2 linked regions of the Caenorhabditis elegans genome follow. The protein of the gene in region 1 interacts with the protein of each later gene in a pairwise test. Each region holds a gene or a part of one and is shown on either strand. Other genes may lie near its edges. The genes, in order: apc-2 and apc-11.

The links.
Region 2: the proteins of apc-2 (region 1) and apc-11 interact in binary tests that used the Caenorhabditis elegans proteins (3 or more experiments, as listed by UniProt).

Annotation. Positions count from the first base shown.
Region 1 is NC_003281.10:8,078,747-8,084,438, reverse strand, and holds apc-2 (Anaphase-promoting complex subunit 2), read right to left. Parts: upstream 3,811-5,692; 5' UTR 3,788-3,810; coding exon 3,735-3,787; intron 3,692-3,734; coding exon 3,562-3,691; intron 3,428-3,561; coding exon 3,295-3,427; intron 3,250-3,294; coding exon 3,123-3,249; intron 3,080-3,122; coding exon 2,836-3,079; intron 2,791-2,835; coding exon 2,643-2,790; intron 2,594-2,642; coding exon 2,476-2,593; intron 2,430-2,475; coding exon 2,354-2,429; intron 2,313-2,353; coding exon 2,174-2,312; intron 2,084-2,173; coding exon 1,950-2,083; intron 1,906-1,949; coding exon 1,672-1,905; intron 1,628-1,671; coding exon 1,530-1,627; intron 1,483-1,529; coding exon 1,287-1,482; intron 1,243-1,286; coding exon 1,072-1,242; intron 1,026-1,071; coding exon 831-1,025; 3' UTR 738-830; downstream 1-737. Other genes in the region: K06H7.7 (uncharacterized protein), read left to right, coding at 9-126, 179-478, 528-653; dcr-1 (Death-promoting deoxyribonuclease), read left to right, coding at 4,165-4,215, 4,261-4,423, 4,518-4,651, 4,697-4,856, 4,922-5,061, 5,114-5,485. UniProt on the Caenorhabditis elegans protein: Probable component of the anaphase promoting complex/cyclosome (APC/C), a cell cycle-regulated ubiquitin ligase that controls progression through mitosis and the G1 phase of the cell cycle.
Region 2 is NC_003281.10:4,593,241-4,596,188, forward strand, and holds apc-11 (Anaphase-promoting complex subunit 11), read right to left. Parts: upstream 1,185-2,948; 5' UTR 1,183-1,184; coding exon 1,084-1,182; intron 1,040-1,083; coding exon 968-1,039; intron 919-967; coding exon 682-918; 3' UTR 623-681; downstream 1-622. Other genes in the region: erh-2 (Enhancer of rudimentary homolog 2), read left to right, coding at 1-92, 137-261, 309-425; asb-1 (ATP synthase F(0) complex subunit B1, mitochondrial), read right to left, coding at 1,423-1,624, 1,746-1,944, 1,988-2,350, 2,393-2,458, 2,506-2,581.

The sequences.
Region 1 (5,692 bases):
ATTTTCAGCATGTACACATTTGACTGGAACCACTACTCGAAAAAGAACATTCAATATGTTGTGTTCACAAAGGTCTGCCAATCACACGCCCCAGGTCATTTTGTCGAGATGCTAAAGGAAGATTGTGTAATATTTCAATTTCGATCTCTTTTTGGCAATTATCATTCTCTTTATTCAGAGTTGCCGAGACTGTGGAAGTGCTGATTTGGCAGTTAAAGTTCGCCTTACAGTACCACTTGATTTGTCTGATATCCCGATACCATGCAGTGAAGATATACAGATCCACGTGTCATTTCTGGCTGACGATCTCTTGGAAAGACATATATCATCAAATGTGAATAGAAGTTCGAATAGAGATGATCTGGACTTTTCGAGAAGAACGTGTGAAAAGATGTACGATTTGTATCAAAAAATGATGAGAGGACAATCAAGTCGCATGTACACAGAATGGTTCGATAAGTGCAAAATTTTTGTGAAGGTTCGGAAAAAAAGTGTTCAGACTGAATTAATATAAATATGATTTGCAGAATTTTCTCTTCTCCAAGTCGCTTCATCTTTATCACGGAAATGTAATACGTCGAAAGATTGAAGAGAGTCAAACGTTGAATAAACGACGATGCTTCATCTTTGCACAAATTTTTGATCTCGAATAGTTTTTGTTTAAATTTTTTTATTTCTTTGGATCCTCTTGAATCTCAAAATCGACTGTGCCATTTTTTGTTGTTTTTTAATAAATTGTTTTGAAATATTTTATAGAATTAGATCATCATAAATACCAGCTTTGTTTAAATTTAGAAAAAAAAAATTTCAAGATTATAAAATGAAAGAAGTTATTCGCCGTCTTTCTTTTCCTGAATGATACGATATGACCCATTAATGCAGGTTAGCAGTCCCAGCGCAACTTTTCTTTGCAAAAACGCGGAAACATGATCAAGAGTGGGTCCTGCAGAAGTTGGAGAACCGAACATACGGTAGACACGATGCATCCGTTCCGCTTTCACTTCTCCGTTAGGTGCATGATTGGCCTGAAAATTGATTTTTTTATTCTTATATATTTTAAGTTTTACTTACAATGAAATTTCTAGTATATCCCCAATATTGTTCTAAAGCATCAACCATATCAGAATTCTCTTCCGGTTCCACATCTTCATCGTCTTCAAGGTCCGGTGTGCCTGGTCGAACGATGGAAATTCCACTTGGATTCCGGGTCAATGTCCACGTGTCGCTACTGATAATGGGATTCTGAGAATGAAATTATATGATAACTTAATAATTTTCTATTTTACCATGCAAATAAATCCTTGTTTAACCAGCCATTCCAATCGTTTTCTTGTCACAACCACTGACATTCCCATTTTCTCGACTACTTCAGCAGTTGTCCATGTTTCTTTTTCGAGGAACAAGAAGAGGAGAAGAGCGTACATATTTGGAATTGTTCGATCTACTTCAACTCCATCGATATTGATAGAAACCTCTACACATCTTTAAAAAGTTAAAATTCACATGATAATTCAACAAATGAAACTTACCCAACACTTCTTAACCATTCTAATTTTCTGTCGCGCTTCACGTCCAGATAAGTTTCTTGGTAAACGTCCATCGCAGCTTGCAATGGTTGAGGCATTAACTGAAATAATTTTTCATATTGTAACATTGTTGCAATATTCTCACCGCTTCTGTTTTTTCAGTTTCCAACTTTGGCCAATAATGACTTGAGATGATACATGCAGAAATTGGAATAATCGGAACATCATAATTTCCAGCGCTTCTTTCACTCATGTCTTCAAACTTTTTATCAATATCGAGACTATGAATAACGTCCCGAAGCATCACTTCACAATGTTGTAGCTCACTGTATTGGAATCTCAGTTTCAGCAAGTCCAGGTATCGCTTCTCGAATTCAGGCTAAAAAAGATATAGACTTCGTTGAAAACGAAAAGAGTACTTACATCTTTGTTGTCCGAACTCGAAAGTCGTTCAGCAAGAAGATTTCTATATTCTTTGACAAAAAGTTCTTTGGATCCATATACAGAGACAAGCATATTGAAGACGTCAACACCTTGATGCCCGGGTGCTCCATCACCTGAAAATAAGAATAACATTTTAATAACTTTTACTGAATTTGAGAGAATTGTCATTGAACTTCCGTGAGTTTTTATCTGTAATCACTAACCAACAGTAGCATCAGTTGGGTTAGGCATCCAGTTTTCCCATCCAAGCGTCTCCATATTTTCTGGCAAAAAATCATCGTTGACACCTTTCAGTTCTTCCTCGTCCATCATTGCCGATCGAACAGTTTTAGACTGTAAGCTCTTGAAAAGTGTTAGAAAACGTTTTTTTAGTACACGCTTACCATATCTTTTTCCAGTTCATTTTTCTTATTAGAAGTAATGTAACTGATAATTTGTTGTACAGTGTCAGGTCGCCTTCTGAAAAAAAAATTAAATATAATTAAACAATCAGGAAATAGCTTACTTCAAATATTCTCTGATAACTCCACAAACTTTATGCATAACCACGCAACTATTGTCCATTTCACGAAGAGATTCTACGCACGCCGCATAAGCTTTCAAAATGTCTTTTGTATCAACCGCTGAAATTTTAAATATTTAAGTTTTAAATAATTCCCCTCACCAACTTACATGCAACAAGAAGTTTTGTGTTAACTTGATCTATCAAGTAATTTGTGAAATCGACTCTCCCATGATTATTAGTTCTCAAAAGGCAATATTTCATTGTGATGAGACTGCGAAATTTTACTGGAAAATCTACGGCGATCATTTCATATGCCTACAAAAAATATTTTTTAGGTTCCAAATTTTTTTAAAAACTCACGTTTTTGGAAAGCATTTGGAAGACATCTTTGTAAATAGTGTCACTAATTAAATGGAATGCGTCTTGCATTGTTACTTGATCTGACCAAATCCTCAGACTCTCCATAATTTCTTGAAACATTGAACATCTCAGCTCATTGTCAAAAGCCGCTTTCTCGTGCATCACCAATGTTGCAGCAAGCTCGCGAATATACACTGAAAGTGCTGCGTTCATGTGACGATTTGCATTGAGAATTCCAGTTTTTCTGAAAATGTTATATATAATTTAGGAAGTCAGGCTTTACCCACAATTCATTGACAAAAGGATTAAAATCTTGAACATATTGCCCGCATATTTCTTTTTTTTCTGGTGTCCACAGCTCTTGGTTTAAATCGATTCCATGATCGATTTTTCGATGAGGAAGGTACATGGCAACTGAAAAATGTTATTGGAAACTGGGGCTGAATGAAAAAAAAATACGTCTGTAATTAGTGAAGTGCGACATAAAATAAGGTCTGAGAACTTTGATAACAACTTTCTGCATGGCCAGTGGGAAGATGAGCTCTGCAGCATCGCGAATATCCGGTTGACCAACGCCTTTTTCCAATGCAAACTGAAATTATTTTCCATTAGCTTGTTACACCTCTATTTTCTGACCGTTTTCCATAAGGAGAAGATTTTTCAGAGCATTTAATTGAGAATAAGGCTAATTTGTTCTTGATTGGATTTAAAAATTTTAAAACTCACCATCAGGCATTCTTGCTGTACTCGTTGCAGAACTGTCGTCATATCATAAACTTTTTCAATATTTTTTGCGTATTTTGCGTGATATATCAGAGCATCCCAGACTTCTTTTTTCTTTGAGACGCAAAATTGTCTGAAAACTGTCTTTACGGAACTCATTTTCAAAAATTCCATACCTGTACTTCATCGCAGCCTCTTTCGAAGTAGTCATTCTGTCAAAAATGGACATTTTCGAAATGGTTAAAATAATTTCAGCAAGGATACGAGAAGAGAACGATGACAAATGTGTGAGAAACTGTATATATTAAAGGATCATGCTTAAAACGAAGGTTGGGGTCTCGGAAACTACATTTCCACAAAAACCGCGAATAAATGTTCCTTTAAAAATTATACGAAAAAATGTTTGTTTCTTTTTTTTCACACGATTTTTCAGAGTATTTTCTTTCAAATTTCTGTCGATTCCACTTTTCCTCCGTCTTTTGAATGTTCCCATGAAAGAGACATAGACATTGGTTCAGTAGAGCGCATACTACGGGGCAGTCAGCGGCAATTATTTTTTATTGTAATTTTTGAACATTATCAATTTTCCCTGTTTTCAGACCAATAATGGTCAGGGTAAGAGCTGATTTACAATGTTTTAACCCCAGGGACTACCAGGTAATTTTTAAGTAGCAAAATAAATTAAAAATAATCGATTTTCAGGTGGAACTTTTGGATAAAGCGACAAAAAAGAACACAATCGTCCAACTAGGCACTGGTTCAGGAAAAACTTTCATTGCAGTTCTACTGCTGAAAGAATATGGAGTTCAATTGTTTGCACCATTGGATCAGGGTGGAAAACGAGCGTTTTTTGTTGTAGAGAAAGGTAATTTCGTCTATTAAAAATAAGCCAGCTGGCCAGTAAAGTGAATAATTGACAAAAAAAAACAAGATTTATTCTAAAACATCATTTTTTCCAGTAAACCTCGTTGAACAACAAGCTATCCACATCGAAGTTCACACAAGTTTCAAAGTTGGTCAGGTCCACGGACAGACAAGTAGTGGTTTATGGGACAGCAAAGAACAATGTGATCAGTTCATGAAGAGGCACCATGTGAGTGAGAATACGAAGCTGAACTATCGAGCATATATATTTCAGGTTGTTGTGATCACAGCTCAATGCCTTCTTGATTTGATTCGACATGCGTACTTGAAAATTGAAGACATGTGTGTTCTGATCTTTGACGAATGTCATCATGCTCTCGGTTCTCAACATCCATACAGAAGCATCATGGTCGATTATAAGTTATTGAAAAAGGGTAAGTATTGAGGAATTAATGGTGAAACTTCGAATTCGCTTCAAAATACGGAAATATTTTTTCAGACAAACCCGTCCCACGTGTATTAGGACTCACAGCCAGTCTTATCAAAGCGAAAGTTGCGCCGGAAAAACTAATGGAACAGTTAAAAAAGTTGGAATCTGCGATGGACAGTGTTATAGAGACAGCTAGTGATTTAGTCTCGGTATGATTTAAAAAAGACAAACAAAGACTTGTTTCCAATAAAACTAATTTAGCTCTCGAAATACGGTGCGAAACCCTATGAAGTTGTGATCATCTGCAAAGACTTTGAAATTGGGTGCCTGGGTATTCCGAATTTCGACACAGTTATAGAAATATTTGATGAAACTGTAGCCTTTGTGAACACCACAACAGAATTTCATCCAGATCTAGATTTGGATCCTCGTAGACCGATTAAAGATTCTCTCAAGACGACGCGAGCTGTTTTTCGTCAACTGGGACCTTGGGCGGCATGGCGAACGGCTCAAGTTTGGGAGAAAGAGTTGGGAAAAATTATAAAATCTCAAGTGCTACCGGATAAGACGTTGCGGTTTTTGAATATGGCAAAAACATCTATGATTACGATTAAAAGATTGTTGGAACCGGAGGTGCGTACCTAACAAGAGACGTTGGAAAATGGTACCTCGAAGTATCGTTATGGTATAGCAATTTTTCGACAAAAAAGTGTTATCATTCGAAAAAGTTCGTAACTCCCTACTCACCAAGAGAGCTACAAATCTTGAGCAAGATTTCAAATTGTAAGATTGTAGCTCAATTCATGGCTTTTTGAGAATTATGGGCTGAAGCTTGAATGC
Region 2 (2,948 bases), 3.5 Mb from region 1:
TTCTTCACATACCGTACTTCTGATTCAAACATCACCACGTCTTGATTCACGGACTTGGGGAGATTATGAGAGTGTAACTGACGCTCTTGATGGTAACCATTCCGTGAGAATTATTATGTTTAATGGAATTTTTCAGCTCTTTGCAAGATGTTTGAAGATTTCCTTTCCAAGAAATCAGCTGCTCCAGTCACATACGACGTGTCGCAAGTCTACGAGTTTCTCGATAAGCTCTCCGATGTTTCTATGATGATCTTCAATCGCGTATGTATTATTGATCTGCATATCCTCCCAAATCAATTCATTTTCAGGAAACCGGGCAATACATTGGTCGTACACGTGCATGGATCAAACAACAAGTCTACGAGATGATGCGTGGTCGTTGTCAGCATCCGGAAGGTGGAGAGAAAGTCATTGTTGGGTATTGATTACATTGGAAATATTATTCTCATCTCGCTCTGATCTTCATGTGCTCGCCGGTCTTTTATTTCTTCTTCCTTTTCAATGATTCTTGCTCAATTTACAATTCGATTTCAATTGCGATATTTTTATACTTTCTGATGAATTTCTCACTATGAATATTTCAATTTAAAAAGTCTTCGTTCTTGTTAATTTAAAATACAAATGAGGAAAACTGAGTATCATTTGACATGAAAAAATGGAAACACAAGATAAAAACGTAGATTACTCTACAATTGTCCAGTCTTGTCTGCAAAGCGGGCATTGAGCTCTTGGTTGGTTAGTTGGTGCTGCAATCCACTTATCGATGCAATGACGATGAAAAGCATGGCGACAAATTCCCAGAACCAATGGGCAATCATCTCCTGGAAACTTGCACATGTTGCACGCCGATTCAAATTCCATTCGACAAATTCCACAGGTATCTTCACCTCCTTGTAACCACTTCCACTCTCCACAAACCTGAAAAATGTCAAGTTTTTGAAACTTCAATTTTTTTTGACAAACTAACATGTAACTTTTTGACGGTAATGCTCATCCGAGTGTTGGTTTTTAATAGAATCCCTGGATGATCATCCTGCATCTGAAAACCGAAATATGATACGAATTATTTCTTATATGTCTTACAGTATGAAGTTCAGAACTGCTCATCGACATATTTTGTTGATCATCGTTTCCCTGTGATTCATCATTTTCCTGTTCGTCCATTTGAATTTGTTGCTCCATTTCTATCAAATGTGATATTTTATATTGACAATTAGATTCTGGCTCGTACGACGAAATCATTATATAGGTAGGATTGATAAATAAGGTTGAAACCTGTTCGATAATCACAATAACACGATTGAAAATTCAAAATTTTATGAGAAAGAAAACAACGCCACTATTATCATCACTGGTTTTATGTTGTGTGCGAGAATAATTTAACAAACGACAAAAACACTGAAAAAGGTGAAAGAGAGATCTTCAGACAGCAATACCCTTGAGTTGTTGAATGGCGTTTTGAAGGAATTTTTCCTGGAAGTCTTTCTGGGAGACTTGCTTCTCGACACTGTCATTGATCAACTTCAGCAATTGGTCGCGCTCAAATCTGGCCTTTGTCTCCTCGGTCTCTTTCAAATACTCGATGCGACGCTTGATCTCATTGGAAATGGTTTGAACATTCTTTCTGAAAAATAATTTTAAAATACAGAATAAAAAGGAGATTAGGAGATTATATTCAAGTAACAAAATTCGCGGTTTTTTTTTCAAAAAAACTGCGATAGAGCGCGTTTTATTGTTTAGCTCACCTATAAGCGGCCTCCAGCTGTAGCTGCATGGAATCCTTGAGAGAAGTTGGCATGCCTTCCTTGAGAGCAGCAAATGAAGCGGTTTGAGCGGCAGAGGTTTTGCGGAAATCAACAGCTTCCTTCAAATCTTCTTGAATAAGTCCTTTGAAGAAACCAACGCGTTCCTGATAGTCCTTGTAAAGACCAGCATCGATTTTATCTAAAAGAAAAAAAAAGTTATTTTTAAATGTTCAGTCACTAACAGCCGGCGGTTCTGGAAACCAAAAGATAGAAAAGAATCCATCCAACAGTCATATGTCCTTGCTCCTCAAACACCCACAACTCCTTGTTAACGAGGAAAGCAAAGAGTCCTCCGAAGAAAAGATATGGACCAGAGGTACCAGTAACCTTTTGGAATGCGGTAAACCACGAATCGGGCATCATCAAGAGACGAGTCTTTGGTGGGTACATTGGACGAGACGGGTATGGATAATTGGTCAAATCCCGATCTGGGTGCTCTTTGAAATCTTTTGGAACGGATGGAAGGAGTTCAGGAGCGGACCATTCTTTATTGCAGGCATCGAACATGGACTTTGGAGCTTCAGTCTCCGTCGGCAGTGGGATTCCTGTAAAAGAACTATAACAAAAAAAAACAATATAATGCTTACCTTTGAATCTATAAGCAATCTTCTCAAAATACCCGATGCTGTTATCTGATGATGGGGCGACAGCATCTGAAACAAAAAATTATATATGAGAAAATGCATTTAAATAAACTCACGTCCTGTTGCAGCTCCACGCGCAACGATAAAAACGCGAGAGAATGTCTGAGGAGATGACAAGCGACTCAACGACATCTGGAATTCAAAGAATTTTTGGGCGTTACTGAATATCTGTATACAGAGAATTCAAATAGAAAACTTTCAAGTTGTGCAAATTAACTATTTTTCTTATTGATTTGAAAGAAAAGAAGAAAAAAGAAAGATTGAAAATGGAAATATAAAACTAAACACAAAACGAGGCCGCGCAAGGTAACTCTGAGGGGTACTGTATTCGTTGCGAGACCCAGCGATCACCAGCGCCTATGCTCCTTTAAAATAATGTATTCGCGTTATGAAAATTCTACACTTAAAATCAACATAAAAAACTCGTAAAAACCCAATAAATAATAAAAGTATATTATTTTATTTGTAACACGAAAAAGTGATGATTTTTGGAGCAGAG